Linked DNA regions of Arabidopsis thaliana. The protein of the gene in region 2 purifies or fractionates together with the protein of the main gene of each other region. This does not show direct contact. Each region holds a gene or a part of one and is shown on either strand. Other genes may lie near its edges.

Region 1 (12,664 bases), on a different chromosome or scaffold from region 2:
ACCACCCTTTGATCAACTCTCCATGTACTGGTAAGATATAGGAAATCTACATACCACATTTTTTTAATTCTATGCCACTAATCACTAGATTAGATTTGAATCGTAGAACTCATGTTTGTAAAGCCACATTCCTCTACATTCCAATCATTCTACTGTTTGGTATAGCAATAGGTTAATGTGACATATCCTGTCCTCCTTAAAATGGTACTGTGTGAATGTGCAGGAAGGTCTGTTGTAGATTCAAGGTTAGAGAATTGTAAGTTAAGCAAGGATGTTCCTCCACCCAAGCCTTTACGTGATGGTAAATATTTATTTAAATGCTTGTGTTTTTCTCCATGCGGTTTCTTCATAATACCATTTCATGAGAACATTACATAAACAAGCTTTTTCTTTTCACTGCAGTAAATCAGATACTCTCCATTCTTCAGAAACGGAATGCTACAGAGACATGTTCTGATAATAACATGCAAACATCTGTGCTTTTGACAAAAGTACCTCCAGAATCTGAAACCAGCAAAAGACACAAAATGGAGTCTATTTCAACGAAAGGTAACTCCGGAATTTCAACCTTTTTGACTTGTAAAGCTTAACTAAATCCAAGTATAAATAGTTAGCCTTTCAGAATACAAAACTGTTCTTATAGTTTTTTTTGGGTTTATTGTTGAAATCTATAAGAATCTCATCACTACAAACAATTCTTTGTTTGCTTATCTGAGTTGCAGAAGCATCTACGGAACAAGTAATGGTGCAAGAAACCTCATCGGCCAGCACAAGAGGTTGCTTAATGAGTGATCCTCCGAGTTTCGACCTCGGAATTTAAACAGCCCCCTCAAGATTACAGAAAATAGGTAACTCGTTTTTTCATTTTACCTCAAGTTCTTCACGAACTATAGTTTTTTCGAAAATATAGTTTCTCATTCTAAGCTGTGTTAAAATCAAAACTAGTATGTACCGTGGAAAAAGTATGTAGTTTTATGCATAAGCAGAAATTAGTAAGTAAATTGAATGGTTTATGCTCCAATTTGCGTGCAAGTTAACTTCAAAATGAGAAAGTTTCCACGAAATTCTCTTAATGTAACGATGACAAATTTCTAAGACATCTACATTTTTATTATGAAGCTAAATATAGATAAAGCTAGAAATAAGATGTAGCGAAGGAGCGAGTCTTTAGCATGTCCTACGAGTGCGGGTTAACCATAATAACCACAAATCTCTTCTACAAATATTCCAAATTTTCAACAAACACAAAAGCAGTTGAAGAAGTTAACTTTTGAGAGAGATAGATAAGTTTACTTTAATAGAAAGATACATACATATACATAGGCAAAGAAGGGAAATGGCAGGACCGGCACAAGCAGCAAAGCAGTCAAGTGAAGTGCTAGGCCAGCGGAAGTCGTTAGGGATATGTCCGTTGAGAGCGGCAGCGGTTGGAGCGGTGATAATCGGTGGAATTGGCTATGTGGTGTTGTACAGCAAGAAGAAGCCTGAAGCTTCAGCAGGTGATGTCGCTAAAGTTATGTCAGGCGTCGGTGGTACTCCTGAGAACACTCGTCCTCGTAATTGAGCGTCTCTCTTTAATTTGTTTACTTTCAAATCATGGGATTGTTATCTTTGTGGTTGATATATATAGTTGAATTCTCTAAACATTTTAAACATTTGAATCTTTAGGTGAATTAAGTTTACTCTAGACTTCGAAGAAAACCTTCAAATTCAGTTATTTGATGTTACAAATCTTGACGGGCTTTTCATACGAAAAGATATAATTTGATGTTAGTCATAATAGGAGAAATTTGTAAAAAGTGATCTGTTTTATGAGATCTCGGTAAAAGCAGTAACAATATTTTTAACAAAGATAAACGAAAGAGCTAATATTTGGTTCGTTTATTTATTCCATTTATACATTAACTTGAGAGCTCCGGTTGGATTATTACGTGCCCATACTCCATCATCTTGCACTTGCCAGAAACATATGTTAGGCTTCATACTCCCACATACATCATGTATAAAACTCTCTTTCCCAACAAATGCGTCAAAACTTACATGATGCTTAAAATCAGGTCCCTGAAAGATATATTAACAAAGATGATCACAACTTTTTTCCAAATAAAAACATAATTATAGAACGATTAAAGATCATATAAACATTAGAGGTTTCAATAGTTATTGTAGATGCTCCAAACCAATCCATTTGTAGAGTAGAAGATTTTTGACCAACAAAATTTTTTCCCGTCCATAAAAGTAAAACAATTTATTCACCAATGTATGGACAAGATAACAAATTTACTGTAAATATATACATTCAGATTTAAGAACGTGAAAGATTTCTCTTTTATTTTTTTTAAATTACCTTCCATAAGGTGCACCATATCAATGTCTTAAACCCAATTCTTAAAGGAGCTTTGAACACATCACTGAATGCAAGAAAAACAACTCGGGTCGATTCCTGACCAGATCTACACTGGACCATAAGTTTATTGTTACCCCCAAGTTGATTTGAAATTTCAATGTTAAAACGTCTAAATGTAAGAATAGAGTCTGTTCTTTGGATTAAAAAGGCGAACAAGGCAAAATATATTATAAATTTTTCTATCATTGTTTTTTTTCTTTCAACATGTATTTGTCTTTAACATGAATTCCACACATATATATATAATATAATATGTCACATTTGTTGATGTATTTAATTTCATTACTTTTGTTCTCTCTTATATGGTTAGTTATATCCTATCATTTATTTTTTTTATATATTTTTCTTTAAAATATGTAAACTAATGGAAACAAACAAACAAATCTTGCATAAATTTACTTGCAAAATTAAATTTCATTAACACATTTAGATTATTTTTTTAATTTATGTTGTAATCCTTTATTTGTCAATTATTTTTGTTTTTTTATATTTTCTTTGTTATGAAACCAGCATATCTAATGTACAAATCAGTATATTTTTTTTGAATTATTTGTTCACATAGTCAACTTTATTCATGAATTGAAATATAGAGATATTCAGAAAGACAATTTGCTATCCACTCTAGAAAAATGCATTATCCTTGAATATTAAATTGAAAGAAAATAATCGAATTAAACAAAAAATGATGAACCAAGTTAAAAACCATCTCATTTGGCACAACATTGAGTCTAACACTCACCATTATTAAGCACATTTCATATGGTTTAAGTAATTATCACATGTTCAAAAGACAAAAATATCAAATTAAATTATAGAAATGTAACTGAAGTTATAACTTATGATCGTAATATATCATAATGTTATACATAAAATTATGCCTTAATACGTTCATCACTATCATTGTTTCAATAATGCAAAGGCAATAAAAACTTATCTTTTGAATAAAATAGTAGACAACAAAAATATTGTTTAGTGAAAAGGTTTTTTGGATAGTTAGTAAGTTTTAATTTTAAAAAAAAATAAACTAAATGTTTACAGTAGATTTAGAATTATAGTTATTATGAATTATTCGGACTATCAATAAAATCTTGACATGTCCCTTCTATTTTTACATTTGTTTCAATCATCATTTCACATGCCCACTTTTTACACCCACTCACAGTCTCACACATTTTTTTCTCTTACACACATTCTCACATCTAATCCTCTAATTAATAGTGTGACCGGGCTAATAAGCTAATTACTTTCCAAAACCTATTATTTATCTCCAGAAAACCCAACAAAAAAAATTCACCCCCAAATCGCCGCATACTTCTTATAACTATGTTATAGTACTTAAAACATTTGTAAATTATATTGGAGATTTCAAACATCTGTAATTCAAAAATTTCTATGATTCAAAAATTAACAGAGAGGTAAAATAACAAACCCAAAGATATAAAGTCCATTAAAAATTATACTTTGATTTCAAATTAATTAAATAATAAAATTTGAAAGAGCTCATAGCTCAGTGGTAGACTATTTGACTGCAAATTTAGAGGTCACCGGTGTGAACCTGGTTGGGCTCTTCTTTTCTTTTTTTCGTTTTCTAAAATATGTTACGAACTCCAAATAGTTGGTTAATGATATGCATATTAACCCGTGAATGATTTAATATGAAAATGATAATTGGTTAATGATATGCCTATAAAAATTAATATGGTCACGGGATTTGATATTCCTTCCTTCCCTACTAACCCAAATAGTCCTACAATAAAATTATCCATAAGTTGAAAAAAATAAAATAATAATGATGTTCCTAATGTAATAGCTTAGTTATTGCATAGTGCGATTCCAAAACTAATAAATGAAAATCAACCAAATTATTGGTTCATCCCCACGGGCCACGGGTCATATTATCTATATGTCATTATGTATTCATACATACATACATACATATTTCTTGTTTTATGATATGTTTTTGTACATATTATAGTTTGTATATATGATATGTTTTTGTACATATTATAGTTTGTATATATGTGTGTTTCTATAAGTACAATATAAAAAATCACTTATAGTCTATCCCCGAAGATATTCAGTTGAAATATTTGCTATATTGCTGGCATTTTTTATAAGAATTTTATCTAGAACGCAAGAGAACAAAAAAAGAAAAAAATTAGAAAAAAAATGAGTTATAAAGGATGAGGATAAGGTAATAGTATTATGCACAGCGCGGAGTATCACATGCAAGTAGTGAGATTAAGAGACAACAAAGAGACTGTTTGATCAATCCTTGTCTGAGAGTTACTCTCTCTTTAGTATTTATAAACCTATCTTGAACCAAAAACAATCAAATCAAACTCAAAATTTAGTTTTAAACTCTCTGTTTCTTTCTTATTTTTTCTTCATTTTTAGTTGCTGTGAAGATGGGGAATTGTTCGCAAAGAGCAGTATCTGATGGTGGTGGTTCGGTTACCGTAATTGCGACAAATTCAAGAAACATCCTGGAAGAGTATTACAGAAGCCGGAGATGTAGCTCGTTGCCAATAACAAGGGAGAAAACACTAGGGTATCTTGTTAGACAAGGTACAACAAGCCCTAGAGGAGTACTTGGGCCAAGGATACAAGTGTCGCCGCAAAGAAGAAATGGAGTTTGGAAAGCGAAAGTGGTGATCGGAAGTAAGCAGCTTGAAGAGATTTTGGCAGTTGAAGGCAATACACACGCTTTGATTGATCAGCTCCGGTTTGCTGCAGCAGAAGCTTTAGTTTCTTCAACCTCCGCCTCTGAGATGGTCAGAGTTAAAAGTTTATTGTCCAAGTCCCGAAAAAGACAATGAGAACTACTTCTGTTAGGTTCGATGATTGCGTTTTTTTTATGTGGCTTATTTGTAATCCTAGCAAAAAGTGTATATAGCACAAACATTTGATAAATGAAAAAAATATCTTGTTATATAAAGAGTGTATCTAACTCGGTTTTCGAAGTTTATGTTTTGTGAAATATAGAAACCAACTGAGGAAAAAATTAATACATTTGGTTCTGTTTGACACAGTCTGTGTTTCAGTCTGATCTGGTTTTTGAGAAAATATTTAAAAAATATTAGGTTTTAGCAGGATTACTTTTTTGGGGTTTGTTTAGTTTCGGTTACGGTTTGTTCAAATGCAAAAGATTGAAATTTGAAACCGGATCAGATGGTTTTGTACTTTGGTCCAGAGTTTTTGGAATCGGTTAAAGCGAAATGGATACAACTCAGTACGAGACACATAACGACCAATTCGAGAGAAGAAAATAAAAAAGACAGTTACATGAGAGACCTGAACATTCGAACAACTAACTACTTAAGAAGACACTTACACATGTTTAGAGATAAAGTATCACATGTTCTTCATTCAGACACGCGATTCCATTTTCTTGACAGCATTTTCGATGGCTGGCATGTTTTTCTTGAAGGTTGACCATTGTTCATCTGTTAAGCTTATTCCTGGAGATAACATTATAACATATCAGAGACCAGACATGAATCAAAAATATTCTCAATATGGTCCATTTTGAGTAAAATGGTTGTCCCTTTTTTTTTTATCTATAGAGAAGAAAAGATGAACTATATTCAAACCCAAATAACTATTCTCAAAGTAGATAAAACAGAAACTATTTAATGACTTTTACACAAAATATCAGGACTTGCACAAATTCAAAGATGTAATACAGAACAAGCTTAAGTGCTAGGTTAAACTAAACTACCATAAACTGAAAGAATCATTCAAGTCAACAACTTTTCGGCCAAAATGGTTTGTAATCACCAAAGCTTTTTACTTAATATACAAAACTGAAACTTAACACACCCAAAACAATAACAACTCTGAATCATCATTGACTCCAAATTTCGAATTGTGAACGAAAATCACTTTGATGCAACTCTAAAGTGGAACTTGAAAGAAACATTTGCACATAAACACAGAATTTGGCTCTACAATTTCTGAAAAATTGTGATAGAACAAAGAGAGCTTTAAAGTACCTTTAGAAGTAGGAAGTTCTTTGCCATCTTTCTTGTAATACTCTCTGATAGAAACCAAACTCTTCCCTTTAAATTCCTGAATCGTCACTCTTCTCTTATCCGATAACTAACAACAACAACAACAACAACATTCCAAATTCAGAACACACAACATTCACTAATTCACAATCTCTGCTTCAGAGATAACACTATTAGCTTCTCTACGAGACCACATACAAATCAAAATCAATCCTATTTCAAGCAAAATCAGTAATCGAATTCGAGAAAAAGCAATGAAATCAAACCCTGCAAATGATAAGATCGCCGTCATCATCAAACTCTTTGTTTCCTTTACCACAATCCTTATCTCCATCTTCTTCTTCCTTATTCACTTGTGAGTTTTCATATTCTCTCGCTCTCTCTTCGTCGAGGAATTTCTCCACGACGCTTCGTACAAATGCTTTGTGAGATTTCTCCGAGAGATCGATTGCGAGTTTCTCCGAAGCGAGTTTACGAACCTTGAACTCTGTTATCTCTTTCATATCCGATTCACTGAGTATCTCTATCACAGTTTTCTCGATCTTCTCCTTCGTCTCTTTCTCCATTTTTAGGGTTTTTCTCCGCCGGATTTTGACCAAATCGGATTATCGGTGTTATAAACCCGATAAGTATAGATGAAATTATCGCAATCGTATAAGCGTGGTGGTAATCCATCGCTCATTTCTATTTATAAAAATGGATAATGCTTATGTTTATCTATTATATTTTCTTTAAAATTGAATAAATATGGATGTAATTATCGCAATCGTATAAGCGTGGTGGTAATCCATCGCTCATTTTTATCTATAAAATATGGATAATGTTTATTTTTATCTATTATTTTCTCCTTAAAATTCGATAAGTATGGATGTGATTATCGCAATCGTATAAACGTGGTGGTAATTCATCGCTCATTTCTATCTATAAAATATGGATAATGCTTATTTTTATCTATTATATTTTCTGTAAAACTGGATAAGTATAGATGTAATTATCGCAATCGTATAAGCGTGGTGGTAATCCATCGCTCATTTCTATCTATAAAATATGGATAATGTTTATCTTTATCTATTATTTTTTCCTTAAAACTAGATAAATATGGATGTGATTATCGCAATCGTATAAACGTGGTGGTAATTCATCGCTCATTTCTATCTATTGAATATGGATAATGCTTATCTTTATCTATTATTTTTTCCTTATAACTAGATAAGTATGGATGTGATTATCGCAATCGTATAAGCGTGGTGGTAATCCATCGCTCATTTCTATCTATTAAATATGGATAATGCTTATCTTTATCTATTATTTTTTCCTTAAAACTAGATAAGTATGGATGTGATTATCGCAATCGTATAAGCGTGGTGGTAATCCATCGCTCATTTCTATCTATAAAATATGGATAATGCTTATTTTTATCTATTACTTTTTCCTTAAAACTCGATAAGTATGGATGTGATTATCGCAATCGTATACGCGTGCTGGTAATCCATCGCTCATTTCTATCTATAAAATATGGATAATGCTTATTTTTATCTATTATTTTTTCTGTAAAACTGGATAAGTATAGATGTAATTATCGCAATCGTATAAGCGTGGTGGTAATCCATCGCTCATTTCTATCTATAAAATATGGATAATGCTTATTTTTATCTATTACTCTTTCCTTAAGTCTCTTACTTTCTTGTTAATTCTATTATTTTTGGGTTGGCTGATTTTATACCCATAAACTAATTGCATTCTCAGCTTTTTCCCCACACTTTTTGGCTCTTAATTTTTCACCATAAACTTTGATAATTCTTTAAATTACAACATGTACTTTCGGATTCATCCTTAAACATACATTTCCAATTGAACCGGTCTTTAAACCGGAATTAACCACAAATCCGCGTTTACTGTACCACGATTGCGATTTACCCGATTAATCACCATATCCGTTAAGAAAAAGGTTGGCTGATTTTATAGCCATAAACTAATTGCATTCTCTGCTTTTCACCCATACTTTTTGCTCCTGAAATTTCCACCATAAACTTCGATAATTCTTAAAATTGCAACATGTACTTTCAGATTCATCCTTAAAAATATGTTTCCAATTGATTTAGATTGTTAAACCGAGATTAACCATAAATCCGCGTTTAGTGTACCGCTATTGTGATTTACCCGACTAATCCCACACCCGTTAAGAAAACGACATCGTTTTCTCTTTGTTTTATAATGTGAATCTATCTATATATGTTATGTGTTGTGTTAATTGGTAAGGAAAATGACAAATCGAACTAGATAAAACTCCTAATCATAAGGATAGATAAGACTCCAAATCAATTAGTCAACCTAAATAATATCATCTTAAAGAGAATCAACTTCCGAAAATACATCATCCAAAATAGACAAAAGAGGTTGAAGATTGTTCCAATGACAATCTAAATCAATTGGAAACATATTTTTAAGGATGAATCTGAAAGTATATGTTGCAATTTTAAGAATTATCGAAGTTTATGGTGGAAATTTCAGGAGCAAAAAGTGTGAGGGGGAAAGCAGAGAATGCAATTAGTTTATGGCTATAAAATCAGCCAACCCTTTTCTTAACGGATAGAGGTGATTAATCGGGTAAATCGCATCGTGGTACAGTAAACGCGGATTTGTGGTTAATCCTGGTTTAATGACCGGTTCAATTGGAAATGTATGTTTAAGGATGAATCCGAAAGTACATGTTGTAATTTAAAGAATTATCAAAGTTTATGGTAGAAATTTAAGAGCCAAAAAGTGTGGGGGAAAAAGCTGAGAATGCAATTAGTTTATGGGTATAAAATCAGCTAACCCATTATTTTTTTTTAAGTAAACTCTATTATATTTTCATTTTTCTTCTTAAGTTTAATATTTTATAACAATTTGCGATATTTTTCTTAGGCTGATGTCAGTCAAGTTTTCGATACTAATTACGGTGTCGTTTCGTGAATCTATTAGTTCACTCTCTGAAAAGTTTGCTTATGTTAACAAAGATCTAAACCGGAGTGAGTGAGCAAACTTTTTCGTTTGATGGCATTACGTTAATACGGTACAGACGTAAGCGATTTTCGTCACAATGATCGACGATGTTAGAAAAGTGATTGATATATGGACTTTTTTTTTTAACACCTTAATTGATATATGGATTTTTTTTTTCACTTCTTACTGTTACATATACACATTATAAAATAGTTTTAGAGATGGGTTCAGAGACCATTTTCTTGGTTATTCTTTTTAGACAACCTCCATTAGTGAATTGTTGGGTGTCTTTCAAAAAAAAAAAAAATTATGACTTAAAACACGCATCTTCAGTTACATGTCTTCCTATAAATATTTTTTATGTTTTCTTCAAGACACCGAGTATGATTGATTGGTTGGGGTGTAGGAAATTTATAAAGACACTAAAAAACTACAATCATGTTGTACTTTTCTTATTTTTTCTCACAGCCTAAAAAATATAATTTTTAACTATTTTGGCTATAAGTACAAGTTTTTCTATAAGTACATTATTTTTAAAATATATATTAAATTGATATTTGTGAATAATATAATATAACATAAATACAATTTACTAATAATAATTCTTTTTTAAAAATACATACGACCAAAACCTTATTTCTACAACCAAATCATCCATTTCATTCTCTTTCTGAATTCATATTGCTTTCTTCTTCTGGATTTTGGTACTTCTCTTTCAACCCTCAGATTCACTTTCTTTTTTTCTTCCACAATTGCGGAACAACCGCATTCTTATTAACGATTTATCCATCGTATCATCAGTTCACATACGGAATACATTCATGTATCATGGAGAAACTAGCTTCCTTATCTCAAGACTCGTCATGGGGTAATAATAATCTGAAGCTCTTTAAGTCTCACTAAAAGACCTTCAAAGGTTTAATTAAAGTTTTTGTTTGATCTTTGTTCATACTCAGTATTAGTCCAAGTGCTTTGCAGTTACAGCACATTACCACTCACTATATAGTGAGCGAGGCTCATCGGATAGAGATGCAACCTACGACTCCTTTATCTTACAATGTCCCAGTCATGGAAAGTGAAAACTCTTAATTAAGTTGCAATTTGGGTCGTCATTCAATAAGATCCTCTATGCCACATTAAGAGCTCTCATCAGAGGATTGTGTGCATCTATGACATTGACGCCAGCGTTTCCTTTCTACTTACTAGATTAAAACCATTGATTCAATTCCAAAAACCAAATAGAAATTAGGAAAAAGTAATAATTAGACCAACCATTCAACAGCAACTGAGAAAAAAAAAAAAATAGAACATTCAGTACATGTAGTTAAAACTAAATAATAACCACTAAAAATCTAATAAGCCAATTTCTCCAATATGCAGTTTCTTTCTTCTTCTTTATTTGTTGTCCCCATGAAAATAAAAGAAGAGAAGGAAACCAAAACTAAAAGATATTATCATCATTCATCAATGAACAACAACTTGTTGATCATCGATGAGCATCACTGAGCTGTGATGATGAACCATGTGCCACCTTCCATTGTGGAACTCGAACACATTGGTTATTAGGAATGGACCACCATCCACGTTCAGGTATGCCTTCATGGTGACCCAAGCCATGTCTGTTAGTATCCGAGTGCGAACCGTGTGGACCTGAAAGTCAAACCCTTGTTCCCAATTGAAACAAAGTTGCCAGCTTTGTATCACTTCATTGTACCTGCAATTCAAGAAGGGAAAACATAGATGATTCATACCGATTTCTTTTAATGAAATCCACAAAGATGTATTTAGCCTATTTGAAGATGGCCAAATCTAGAACAAAGATGCATAAGAATAAAACTGTGTGGAGTAGACTCAAACAATGGAAGGTGCTGAAAGAATCCAAATTCTATCAGAGCTGCTGTGGATATACTACTGTTAACTCTGTTATCTTATTGCTATAACTTTTTTGCTTAAACGTTTTTACTAAATCATACAATACTCTTAACATCTTGTATCACGAGGAACTGCACAAGAGCATTGTTCCGCTAGTATACTCAAACTCAGATACCATCTCATAGCTAAGACCATAGAAACATACCCAAAACCGTTAAAGAACATGCTAGGTACACATTAGAATGACAAAAGGGGGTGAAATGTGGAGTTGTTACCCGGAGAAGAGTTCGCCAGAGGCATGGATACACTTGACATAGTCCGAGTTCAACCACAACCGAGCCATCGCTTGAAGCGCTCTGTCTCTAATGATGGTGAAGAATTCCGTATTCACACTAATAATCGCTCTAGTAGTTGCATAGTACTCTTTCCACCCATTGACTGGTGTTATACCATCTTGCTCCAGAGTAAAATCCTAACACATGAGAAAAAAGTAAGAGAAGCATTAAACAAAATAGCACCATTCACGAAAACACACACTAATCCAGAAACTGCTAAGAATACACATCTTTTAACCTAGAATCATTTCTGAATTTCCAATACACAAAGCTAATACAAATGAGTGATTAGTGAATCTAATTACCTTGTGATAAAGAGCTTTCCAAGCATTATCATCATTAGCAGCTTTCCTCATCAAGGAATTAGTCATGGATAAGCGACAGAGACTGGGATAATCCAAGTAACTAAGCGCGTGTGTCGTAATTTCCGGAACCAACTGCTCCATCATCGAAACTCCAGGCTTATCATCCGCCACCGTGGAAGTTGTAACCGTCGTTCTCTCTCCGCCACCCATAGGAGGCGTACCACCGTTAGCCAGCGGCGTCGACGGCATAGGTTTGTTGTCCAGTTTTCTCGTCCGAGGAACAGATCGAGAGAGGAAGAAAACGATTGCGATTGGTACTGCGATTATGAAGAACAATAAGGACTGATTACGCGGCGAGAAGGAGAAGAAGTTAGAAGAGACATAAAAAAAACTTTGTAAACATGAATCAGAAGAACAGAAAAAACCTACAGAAGAAGGAGCTTGAAAGGTGACGTACTTAGGGTTTAATGGTGGTTTCCTTCTTCTGCAGAAACCCTACAAATTGAATCGGGAAATAAATTTGGCGAGACGCAGAAGAGAGAGAGATTCAGAAGCTCTTTTGTCTCCAACTCCGTAACTGACCATCGCAAATGTTTATCAAAATGTGTCACTGTAGGAAATAGCCTCAAGTTTCAAGGGTATTATAGTCATTGCACATGTATGTTTATCCAAGTGCGTCAGAGTCACTATAGAAAACAGATCCGTCGTCGTTTAACAATTTTCAAAAATATAAAGAAATGCGTCAGG
Region 2 (12,664 bases):
ACAGTGCAGATCCCAGGAAAGGTATGTGCAAGCCTACATTAACTGCCATATAGCTAGGACTAGTTATTGAGCCATGATATGTGTGTGTTCCTCATCATGTTTGTCTGTGTTATGCTAATGAATTTGTGCGGTGCAGTTAGTGAAGCTGTTGTGCTGAAGACTCTTTCTTATCAAGAGGCTTGGGAAATGGTAAATTTCCAACCTCTTGCACTTGTTTAATGCCTAGTTTTCCAGAATCGTTGTTTACACCTAACATTCATGTTCATATGCCTGCGCAGTCTTACTTTGGGGCAAACGTTTTACATCCTCGGACCATTATTCCAGTGATGAAATATGACATTCCAATTGTAATAAGGAATATTTTCAACCTCTCTGCCCCTGGAACAATGATATGCCGGCAGATTGATGATGAAGATGGATTCAAATTAGACGCTCCTGTGAAAGGATTTGCGACGATTGACAATTTGGCTCTTGTCAATGTAGAAGGGTGAGCTGATAGTGGATATTGTATTACACACTCGGCTGCTTATTGTATTTCTTATACAAACTTTGCATATTCTTTATAGAACTGGAATGGCTGGTGTTCCTGGTACTGCCAGTGCCATTTTTTCTGCTGTCAAGGAAGTTGGAGCCAATGTGATTATGATATCGCAGGTTATTTAGTTCAGCTTTATAATTTCTTTCATCAGTTATGTATTCCCTTGTCAAATGTAACTTCTTAATATAATTACATAAAATGCAGGCTAGTAGCGAGCATTCTGTGTGCTTTGCTGTACCTGAGAAGGAAGTGAAAGCTGTTTCTGAAGCATTGAACTCAAGATTTCGTCAAGCTTTGGCTGGTGGCCGCCTTTCCCAGGTGCCTTTATATCTCTCTTTGTTCTTCGAAAGATATCAAATAGCTATTCTCTTAGCAAATCAACTGGACTATTATTTTGGCATCTACTATTTTTCTCAAACTATGGTTTCATTGTTTTCATTCAGATTGAAATCATCCCTAATTGTAGCATATTAGCAGCAGTTGGCCAGAAAATGGCGAGCACTCCTGGTGTTTCTGCCACTTTTTTTAATGCATTAGCAAAGGTAAGTTAAGTGTAGTGTTTGCAAAGAAAATCAGATGACGGTTCATCATACATTTCATATCCTTTTTTCTGCTTAGAAGCTCTGCTGATACATTGCCATTTGCCATACCTAAATAACTGCAGGCCAATATCAACATCCGTGCTATAGCCCAAGGTTGCTCCGAGTTCAATATTACAGTAGTCGTCAAGCGTGAAGACTGCATCAGGGCATTAAGAGCTGTGCACTCAAGATTTTACCTTTCGAGAACCACTTTGGCAGTGGGAATCATAGGACCGGGATTAATTGGTGGAACCTTACTTGATCAGATTAGAGATCAGGTGAGTATGTGATACTTATATGCGAGATTATAGTAAAATATGGATCAATGTTCAAGCTGCATCATCTTTAAATTTCCTTTCACAGGCGGCAGTGCTCAAAGAAGAATTTAAAATTGACTTGCGTGTTATAGGGATCACGGGCTCAAGTAAAATGTTGATGAGTGAATCGTAAGCCAACGAACCTGATACATTACCTTTTTGGTGAAGTTTCTACTGCTGTAATCTTTACACAATCGTCATCTTTTTAGGGGGATTGACTTATCAAGATGGAGAGAGCTTATGAAAGAAGAGGGAGAAAAAGCTGACATGGAGAAGTTCACCCAATATGTGAAGGGAAATCATTTCATCCCAAACTCTGTTATGGTTGATTGTACAGCCGATGCTGACATCGCTAGCTGTTACTACGACTGGTTGCTACGAGGAATTCATGTGGTCACTCCGAACAAAAAGGCTAACTCTGGACCACTTGATCAGGTAAAGTGTTTGATATTTGTTTAAATGACTGTTGGATCGGGAGCTACATATATGTTCATCTTGATATATATCCATTAAGATTCTGTGATTTTATGAACAGAGAGACTAATTGGTAACACTCCTGTAAATGCAGTATCTAAAGATCAGAGATCTTCAACGAAAATCGTACACACATTACTTTTATGAAGCCACCGTTGGAGCTGGTCTTCCAATTATTAGCACCTTACGTGGTCTCCTCGAAACAGGGGATAAAATACTGCGAATTGAGGGAATTTTCAGGTATCTCCTCTTCGTCTTGGTACCACAGTAATTTTTTCAGATAACACAACAATGGCCTTGCTTTGCACCTTCACACTAAAATTTGCTTTGATGCCTCTCTGCAGTGGTACTTTAAGTTACCTCTTCAACAACTTTGTCGGCACCAGAAGCTTCAGTGAAGTTGTAGCAGAAGCAAAGCAAGCAGGTTTCACAGAACCAGATCCACGAGATGATCTATCTGGAACAGATGTTGCCAGAAAAGTAAGGTTTTTTTCCTGTCAACAAATCGAGCCAATGCACCTTGTAAAAAAATATTGAACCTTCTCGTATCTGCTACTTCTGCAGGTAACAATCCTTGCCAGAGAATCAGGCTTAAAATTGGATCTTGAGGGCCTTCCAGTCCAGAATCTTGTGCCAAAGCCGTTACAAGTAAGACTCTGTATAATCACACAATTAAATTCATCAACAATAAGGTTAATCCTTTTGACATTTCTTATTCACAGGCTTGTGCATCAGCAGAAGAGTTCATGGAGAAGCTTCCTCAGTTTGATGAAGAATTATCCAAACAAAGAGAAGAGGCTGAAGCAGCAGGAGAAGTAAGTAATACCTCCTTGGCAAAACTTTTTTAACACCAAATGCGCCGTCTTGAAAAGAACTCATTTCAGATTTTGTTGCGTTGTGTCTTTGTTTAGGTCTTGAGATACGTAGGAGTTGTAGATGCAGTAGAGAAAAAGGGAACAGTCGAGTTGAAACGGTACAAAAAAGATCATCCGTTTGCTCAGCTATCGGGTGCTGATAACATCATCGCTTTCACAACCAAACGGTACAAAGAACAGCCTCTGATTGTTCGTGGACCTGGTGCTGGTGCTCAAGTCACAGCCGGTGGAATCTTCAGTGACATTCTTCGCCTTGCTTTCTATCTCGGGGCTCCGTCTTAAAGCACACTCTACATGCTAGCATATGTATTTTGGATTTCAGAGATTTTGATTTCTATAGATGATACCAAACTTCAAGGTAATAAAACATTCTAGGAAAAAATTGAATAAAGACTGTTGGTATTATACAACACAAGCATTAAAATGCTGTCTCCTGACTCGAATTTCATCTCCTTCCATATGATTCTGACCCAACCGAAACAAAATTTAGTATCAGAAACATGTCTCAATCTATACTTCGGGCAAAAAAACTTCTTCTACATAACCTATGTTGAAACACTTTGTTTTGAAAATGTGACTAATCTAACATCCAATGAATAACTTCATTTGTTGAGAATCTAATAGTACTCGTCAGGGTTTTGTTTGTTTTGAATGAGAGGGACACCGTCTTCTCTCCATTTAATCCGCTCTTCGCAAATCGCACCCACCACCTCGACATACAGTTTGTGTTCCTGAGTCCAAGATGGAAAAAAGAAAAGAAGAAAATGAAATCTTCTGAACAGTGAAATGTAATGTTCAAAGATATTCTTTAGTAGTACCTCATGAAGAACCCTTTTGGCCAATTCTTCTGGTGTATCATTAGCAATCACACGGACTGCACTTTGAGCAAGTATCCGACCTGTATCGTACTCCTCATTGACGAAGTGAATTGTCGGACCCGAATATCTACGGAAAGAAAAACCGTTGAATGTTTTCTTGCACAAGAAAAGGGAAAAAAGAAACTACACTACACATCCATAACATTATATGAGCTTGAAACTTTACCTAGCTCCCGATTCTAGAACAGCTTTATGCACTTTTATACCATAAAGACCTTTGCCTCCGAAAGCCGGAAGAAGAGCAGGATGAATATTTAGAATCCGTTTAGGAAAAGCTTGGACCAGCTCGACCGGTATAAGTTTCAAATATCCAGCTAAAAGAACAAAGTCTACACCATATTTCCTGTTCATCAAGTTGAGAGACATATAGTGAACTTTCAACAAAGAGGTAAACACATTCACTTCCAAGGGTAAAGATACAAATAAAGACTTCCAAGAGATATGCTAACCTTAGTACATCTACAAGTTCTGAAGGAGAGAGTCCATCAGATGGTTCTCGTTTCGCTTTTGGGAATACTAAAACAGGAATTCCATTACTTCTTGCATACTCAGCACCTCCACAATCTAAATTGATGAAATTAAGCAAGTAAGCTATTCAAATTCCACTAACTAATCAATCATATATTAGCAGTTCTTTTCTGATTCATTAACTCTAAGAACCACAACATAGAAACTATAATTGCAACTTAGAAGACCAAAATCAAATAACTTGAAGAAGAAGAAGAAGAAAGGTGATACCTTTTTTGTTAGTGACCAACAAAACAACATCACCATTAACAGAACCATCACTGCATCCCTCATGAATCTTCCTGAAATTTGAACCACCTCCCGACACAAACACAGCAAGCTTCTTCCTTCTTGGTTCGTGAGACGAACCATCGACCTCCGCTACTATCTGTGGAGTAGACGAAGCAGCTTTTACAAGCGGTACAATCCTCATCGCACATCTCTCTGCGGGACTACGGAAAGAGAAGGAGAGAACATTCCGGGAAGGTGTGAGCGGAGCAATCGAGGTTTCACGGGTCTTAAACGGTGAATTCACCGGGAAGTTGAATTGACTAGAGAACAAAACCCGTGATTCCATTCCGACGGTCTAATCAGAGGGTTTTGTCGGAATAAGTGTCAGTTTGGTCGAAGAGGGAGACAAGAATGAAGTCTCAGACGAAAATCCGGAATGAAGTTGCTTGCCGGAGAAGGAGAAAGATGTGGCGGTGGCTGCTGTTTCACCGGAGCAATTTCCGGAATGAAGATAAATCAAAAGAAACAATGGGAATCAAAACCCTAAAATTGAAATTGGGGATTTAATCAAAGAACTCAGGAGGGAGGTGTTGGGATTTTAGTCCTGCAACAAAAGAAAAAGGAATCAGGGAGAAGAAGATGAAGAAAAGAGAAGAAGAAGTCGCAAAGAGAGTCAACGACAGAGTAAGAAGGAAAGTCAACAAGAAGGAAAGAAGTTGGGTTTGAAGGGTTTTGGTAATAAGAGGCTTAATGGGCTGATGGTTTAATTAGGGCCAAGTGAATAATTGTTGTTTATATTAAGAATCTACATATACATTTTTGGAACGATTTGTGTAGAAAAATTCTTTTTCAATTTTGATATTGTATGTTTAGTCCCTATAAAATCAATCAAACAAGATATTTTATTTAGGACAATGACCAAACTTTTGTTTAACTATTATGATATTGCACTAACTACTTGCCTAAACATAGATATTGTTAATTATTACCCTAATAAATTGCACAAATCAATCCCTATAAACTCTACGTAATTCGCAAATCATTAATTCCTAATTACTAAATTTGATACTAAATCCTAACTAACCATATCTATAATTACTTAGATTCGGAAATCATTATAGTTTTAAATGCTAATGAAATCTTACCAAAATTTATTCTTTTGTTATCAATTACAACAATAATTCCGGTTTGATTAGTAAATCCAAAAATGTATAATACAAAACGATTAACGCTAAACAATTGCCATTAAAACTTTCCACTATTATCAATAATATACATTCATTTCGAAATATATGAGAATATCAACAATTTGATTTTTTATCAACTACTCATATCTACATTTCTATTTATTTAAAATAAGCATATACTTGATTTTAAGGAATATTAGTGCCTCACAATATCATAATCTTACCACATCAAATTATTTCCCAAATCTTTGCCAATATTCTCGGAAAAATCTTTCTAAAATATCTCGACATAACTAATTGCTATACACTACAAAATATTTATACATAAGATTTTATAGAAAATTTTAATTATTATGACAAATCGCATTTATAGCATATACCTAAAATATTCTAATTACGTATATTTGATTCCATTTTAGTTAAGATCGCAAATTAATTTTGCTTGCTCACCAAAATATTGACCTAATCATTCCAAGCCTATATATACTACATATGTTTATCTCCCATCACATTATCAAACACACACATCATGGGCATTCTTTTTATTTTTTTTTTATTTTTTTGTACGTATTACCCTTCTTTATGAATGTGATGTCAATGTATTGATGTTGATTTCTGTATTAAAGAACACAATACTTGAGAATTGTGTATTTCTTTTTTCTTTTTGGTAACGACCTGTGTATTATTGTTCCAAACTATTTAGATATTCATATATGAACGTTTGTGTGTATATATACGTGTGTTTAATTTTGTTGTATTTGCGGTTCTGTTTTTTTTTATTTTGTAAAGAAGTTTATGTAAGTAAAAAATTAAATATACATGTCAAGGTGAAGCAAAAAGATGGGGAGCCGTACGTACCCCACCGGAAGCTGAAGCTAAAGCTCTACTAATGTCAATGCATCAAGTGTGGTCTGACTGCTATACATCAATTTATCAAAAATAGAGACTCTGAAGCGCTCATCAACATCATCAAGGTTCTTACGGTGGACTTCATTACCGAAGCCTTACGCAAAAATATTCACTTTTGGGCAACCAAGTTTAGAAATATCTTTTTCTCTTTTACTAAAATATCGTGTAATCAGTTAGCTCATTTGTTGGCAGAAAAAGGTTAGATAGATTCTATGTTTTTCTCGGATTGTTTGAGTCCTTTGATTTAGATTTATGATATGTTGTATTATGATCGGACCTAATAATCTTTATTCAATAAAGTTTTTTCGTTGAAAAAAATAAAATAATAGTTAAACAAACGTGAATGGTTTAGAACTTTGACTATAAAATAGAACCTAAAATTACTATATTTACTTTGATCTAAAAATAATAATCATATATTAAATTTTATTTTTAAAATCTAAAGTACAAAAACTAAATATTTGCCATGGGGGTTAAAACCTCTTGATTTTGATGGATCAGGTCAAAAACATATTCATATAAATATTCAGCCATAATAAAGCTAAATAATACTATACTTTAAATATAAGAGTTACATCGAATTAAAAATCATACACAATAAATTGGTTAATTTTATATACAACAAAATCATAAGTTTATAAATAACAAAAATTTTTAAGAAACAGCCCGTCGTATATTGCGGATCAATCTCAGCTAGAATAATGCACTAATTATTTAGATTTTAAATTTTAAATACAAGATATTATACAGATTTTTAATAATATTTAGTATATATGGAACAAAAAAAAAACAAATAATTCTTTATTTCACGTACATACCATTTCCTATATACTTTTAATATTTTCATACTAAAATCCTAAAACCAAAAAAAATCAATTTTTAAAATCTGCTACATCGTTACTTAATGAACTGTATGTTTCGTATCTAAATTTTAAATATTGAAACCTAAACAATACTAATCATACACTAAATAATACATAGATATATATCTATATTTAAATAAGACAAATTAATATGTTATATCTTCAGCTAATCTTCAAAAAAAAAACCAAATTAATATGTTATATCTTCAGCTAATCTTCAAAAAAAAAAAAAAAAAAAATATGGTGTTCAATTTGACGGGACATATTATATGGTAGCACGGGTTGGTCGATATTAATACAAGATGTATAACATGGGTGAAATCCTAAAATAAACAATCAAAATATAATTATACAGGAATATAATTAAAAAAAAAAAAAAAAAAATTATACAATTATACGGAAAATTGTTATACGGTAGGACGGGTTTTGGTCTATATTAATATAGACGGTATACAGTGGGTGAAATTCTAGAACTAACAATCAAAATACAATTTAAGAAAAACAAACAAACAATATTAATAAAACAATTACAACTTAAATTTTGTCATAAAAAAATTAACTCGCAGTGTACCGCGGGTCATATCCATATCTACATATACATTTTAGGTAGTTATAATACTTTTACTTTTAACAAAAAAAAGTATTATATAACAAACACATAATTACGTACCATAAAATACACACTCTATATAAATGATGTGTATAATAAAAAGATTTTTCTAAACTAAACAACATCAAACCAAACAAATACTAATATAACATCAAAAGTAAATAGATATAAAATGTAAAATGATGAATTCAAAATATAACTTGATATTAAATATGGATAATATTAAATAAAAATAATAATTTAATTTCTAACGCAAATAATCAACCCGCGGTGTACCGAGGGTCAATATCTAGTGTTATTATATATAGGGGTGTGTAAAAAAAAACCCTCTCAAACTCTTCTATTTTTGTAATTTTACCTTCTACGTCTAAAAAATACAAAATAAATATATGAAATCCAAAATAATATGCAATAATATATAACCCATTTTTCTTAACTTTACATATACTATAAACGTTTTCATAATCACATAATGTACATATATTATTTATCAAAATTTTAAAAATTAACAATTAGAAAAGCTATATTGTATATTATTTTAGATTTCATATGATAATTTTACATTTTTTTGACGTGAAGGGTAAAGTTACAAAAAAGAACAACTTTTAGTTTTTTTTGCACAAAACCCTTAATTTTACAAGCAATTATATAATTAGAATTTCACTTTTAAAAAGGGCTAACTTAATAAGTAAATTATGTTAAGCATATTAATTTTTTTGTAGTGGTACCTTCTTTTTGAACCAATGGTGGAAGTTCGATACCATTTTTGTTATCTAATTAATATGTAATTCAATCTAAAAGCAAATAACTAAGACATACCATGATTAGATAATTTTTAGAAACAGTTGATATAATAATTTACTCATAGAAAAAATATTGAAAATTAGAAGAAAAAAAAAACAGATTGATAGAATTTAGAGATTTGCAAATCAAAAACAAATAACTAAGACAAATATAAACGACATACACCCTAGTTACATTGTTTGTAAATAAGAAAATGGCAATTGTGAGCAACAAACAAGTAACCGGCCCAACAACAACAAAAGGCCCATCTCAGCCCAGTCAAATAGAAGAAGACAAAATAGACTCCAGCTCAAAACAGAGCAACGATCGTACAGAGGAGGGGCGTTTTGCCTGATGACTCACCATAGCCAGCTACACAGCATCTGCCATATTCTAGACTGTTCCATATCTACCTCCTTCTACAATGTCTATAAAAGAGTAGTGTAAAACCCTAATGTAATTATTGAGAAAGAAACGATTTTTTTACCAAAAGCTTGAAACTTTCTCTAATCGTTTCATGGTATCAGAGCCTTTGTAGCCTTAACAGGTATTTCAAATGGCGACCTCATACCCTTTTCCAGATAATGTTCATGTTACAAGTTCTGTTACTCTCAAACTCACAGACAGTAACTACCTCTTGTGGAAAACTCAATTCGAGTCTCTCCTATCGAGTCAAAAACTCATAGGTTTTGTTAATGGCGCCGTCAATGCACCATCTCAGTCTCGCCTTGTCGTCAATGGCGAAGTCACCTCCGAGGAACCCAATCCTCTGTATGAATCTTGGTTCTGTACCGATCAGTTAGTTCGGTCATGGCTCTTTGGCACGTTGTCTGAAGAAGTCCTTGGTCATGTTCACAATCTAAGCACCTCTCGTCAAATTTGGGTGTCTCTAGCTGAAAACTTCAACAAAAGCAGTGTTGCTCGTGAGTTCTCACTTCGTCAGAATCTCCAGCTTCTCTCCAAAAAGGAAAAGCCTTTCTCTGTCTACTGCCGAGAGTTCAAGACCATCTGCGACGCTCTCAGCTCCATTGGCAAGCCAGTCGATGAATCAATGAAAATTTTTGGTTTTCTTAACGGTCTTGGTCGTGACTATGACCCCATCACCACGGTGATTCAAAGCTCTCTCAGCAAGCTTCCGACTCCAACTTTCAATGATGTTGTCTCAGAAGTTCAAGGCTTTGACAGTAAGCTACAATCATATGAAGAAGCGGCATCTGTTACTCCTCACCTTGCCTTCAACATTGAAAGATCTGAGTCTGGATCTCCTCAATACAACCCCAATCAAAAAGGAAGAGGACGTTCTGGTCAAAATAAAGGCAGAGGAGGCTACTCAACTCGTGGACGAGGGTTTTCCCAACATCAATCCTCCCCACAAGTTTCAGGTCCAAGACCGGTGTGTCAGATATGTGGTCGCACTGGTCACACTGCTCTCAAGTGTTACAATCGGTTTGATAACAATTACCAGGCTGAAATACAAGCTTTTTCTACTCTCCGGGTCTCAGATGATACAGGCAAGGAATGGCATCCCGACTCAGCTGCGACGGCTCACGTAACATCATCGACCAATGGACTTCAGTCTGCAACAGAGTACGAAGGGGATGATGCTGTCTTGGTTGGCGATGGCACTTATCTCCCGATTACTCACACTGGATCTACCACTATCAAATCCTCAAATGGTAAGATTCCTTTAAATGAAGTCTTGGTTGTTCCAAATATACAAAAATCTCTTCTCTCTGTGTCAAAGTTGTGTGATGACTATCCTTGCGGTGTTTACTTTGATGCTAATAAGGTTTGCATAATCGATTTACAAACACAGAAAGTGGTAACCACGGGTCCTCGTAGAAATGGGCTCTATGTGTTGGAGAATCAAGAGTTTGTGGCTCTTTATTCAAACCGTCAGTGTGCAGCAACAGAGGAAGTATGGCATCACCGACTTGGACACGCAAATTCTAAGGCTCTCCAGCACCTTCAAAACAGCAAGGCGATTCAGATAAATAAGAGCAGAACATCTCCAGTTTGTGAACCTTGCCAGATGGGGAAAAGTTCAAGACTACCATTTTTAATTTCAGATTCTCGTGTTTTACATCCTCTAGATCGGATTCATTGTGATTTATGGGGTCCTTCTCCAGTTGTATCCAACCAAGGCCTCAAATATTATGCTATTTTTGTTGATGATTATTCAAGATACTCTTGGTTCTATCCTTTGCACAACAAGTCAGAATTTCTCTCAGTTTTTATTTCGTTTCAGAAGTTGGTAGAGAACCAGCTAAACACTAAGATCAAAGTATTTCAGAGTGATGGAGGAGGAGAGTTTGTGAGCAACAAGTTAAAAACACATCTCAGTGAGCATGGCATCCATCATCGAATCTCATGCCCCTATACCCCACAGCAAAACGGATTGGCCGAACGAAAACATAGACATCTTGTGGAGCTTGGATTGTCTATGCTCTTTCATAGTCATACACCTCAGAAGTTTTGGGTAGAATCCTTCTTCACTGCCAATTACATCATTAATCGCTTACCATCCTCTGTCTTGAAGAATTTGAGTCCATATGAAGCGTTATTTGGGGAAAAGCCAGACTATTCATCTCTCCGTGTGTTTGGTTCAGCATGTTATCCTTGTCTCAGACCTCTCGCTCAAAACAAATTCGATCCGCGCTCCTTGCAATGTGTGTTCCTTGGATATAACAGCCAATATAAGGGATATCGCTGTTTTTACCCTCCAACAGGCAAGGTCTATATCTCAAGAAATGTTATCTTCAATGAGTCTGAACTACCATTCAAGGAAAAGTATCAATCTCTAGTCCCTCAGTACTCAACACCTCTTCTTCAAGCTTGGCAACATAACAAGATCAGTGAGATTTCAGTACCTGCAGCTCCAGTCCAATTGTTTTCTAAACCGATTGATCTTAATACATATGCAGGATCTCAAGTTACAGAACAACTGACAGATCCTGAACCTACCTCTAATAATGAAGGAAGTGATGAAGAAGTGAATCCAGTAGCAGAAGAGATTGCTGCAAATCAAGAACAAGTAATCAATTCTCATGCAATGACCACAAGATCAAAGGCAGGAATTCAAAAGCCAAACACGAGGTATGCTCTCATCACCTCTCGAATGAATACTGCTGAACCAAAAACCCTTGCATCCGCTATGAAGCATCCTGGTTGGAATGAAGCAGTACATGAGGAGATTAACCGGGTCCATATGTTGCATACATGGTCGTTGGTTCCTCCAACTGATGATATGAATATTCTAAGCTCCAAGTGGGTTTTTAAAACCAAACTTCACCCGGATGGCTCAATCGATAAACTGAAAGCTCGTCTAGTGGCTAAGGGCTTCGATCAAGAGGAAGGGGTGGACTATCTAGAAACGTTCAGTCCTGTGGTTCGGACAGCAACAATTCGTCTTGTTCTTGATGTCTCAACATCAAAAGGTTGGCCTATTAAGCAGCTTGATGTCTCCAATGCCTTCTTACACGGTGAGCTGCAAGAACCGGTCTTCATGTACCAACCCTCAGGTTTTATTGATCCTCAGAAACCCACTCATGTCTGTCGTCTCACGAAAGCCATCTACGGTTTGAAACAAGCGCCACGGGCATGGTTTGATACTTTCAGCAACTTTCTTCTTGATTATGGATTTGTCTGCAGTAAATCGGACCCCTCATTATTTGTGTGTCATCAAGATGGAAAAATACTCTATTTACTGTTATATGTTGACGACATTTTGTTGACTGGCAGTGATCAATCTCTCTTAGAAGATCTTCTACAAGCTCTCAAGAATCGGTTTTCTATGAAGGATCTTGGTCCACCTCGCTATTTCTTGGGTATTCAAATTGAAGATTATGCTAATGGTCTCTTTCTACATCAGACGGCTTATGCGACAGACATTTTACAACAGGCAGGAATGA

What was found.
Region 1: the proteins of AT1G31220 (region 2) and KELP fractionate together in Arabidopsis thaliana (co-fractionation; one large-scale study listed by BioGRID). This does not show direct contact.

What each region holds. Positions count from the first base shown.
Region 1 is NC_003075.7:6,692,118-6,704,781, forward strand, and holds KELP (transcriptional coactivator p15 (PC4) family protein (KELP)), read right to left. Parts: upstream 7,083-12,664; 5' UTR 6,987-7,082; coding exon 6,687-6,986; intron 6,509-6,686; coding exon 6,403-6,508; intron 5,869-6,402; coding exon 5,777-5,868; 3' UTR 5,742-5,776; exon of another isoform or gene 5,557-5,741; intron 5,339-5,556; exon of another isoform or gene 5,227-5,338; coding exon of another isoform or gene 4,816-5,226; 3' UTR 4,595-4,815; downstream 1-4,594. Other genes in the region: AT4G10890 (DDE family endonuclease), read left to right, coding at 1-30, 224-301, 403-549, 723-820; AT4G10895 (Plant self-incompatibility protein S1 family), read right to left, coding at 1,882-2,061, 2,348-2,593; AT4G10910 (uncharacterized protein), read left to right, coding at 4,816-5,226; AT4G10925 (Nuclear transport factor 2 (NTF2) family protein), read right to left, coding at 10,870-11,119, 11,553-11,749, 11,918-12,166. UniProt on the Arabidopsis thaliana protein: General coactivator that functions cooperatively with TAFs and mediates functional interactions between upstream activators and the general transcriptional machinery. Binds single-stranded DNA.
Region 2 is NC_003070.9:11,149,147-11,161,810, reverse strand, and holds AT1G31220 (Formyl transferase), read right to left. Parts: upstream 5,114-12,664; 5' UTR 4,748-5,113; coding exon 4,402-4,747; intron 4,228-4,401; coding exon 4,113-4,227; intron 4,007-4,112; coding exon 3,830-4,006; intron 3,731-3,829; coding exon 3,604-3,730; intron 3,517-3,603; coding exon 3,403-3,516; 3' UTR 3,128-3,402; downstream 1-3,127. Other genes in the region: AK-HSDH I (aspartate kinase-homoserine dehydrogenase i), read left to right, coding at 1-21, 137-189, 279-487, 567-654, 743-856, 982-1,080, 1,203-1,397, 1,483-1,565 and 6 more.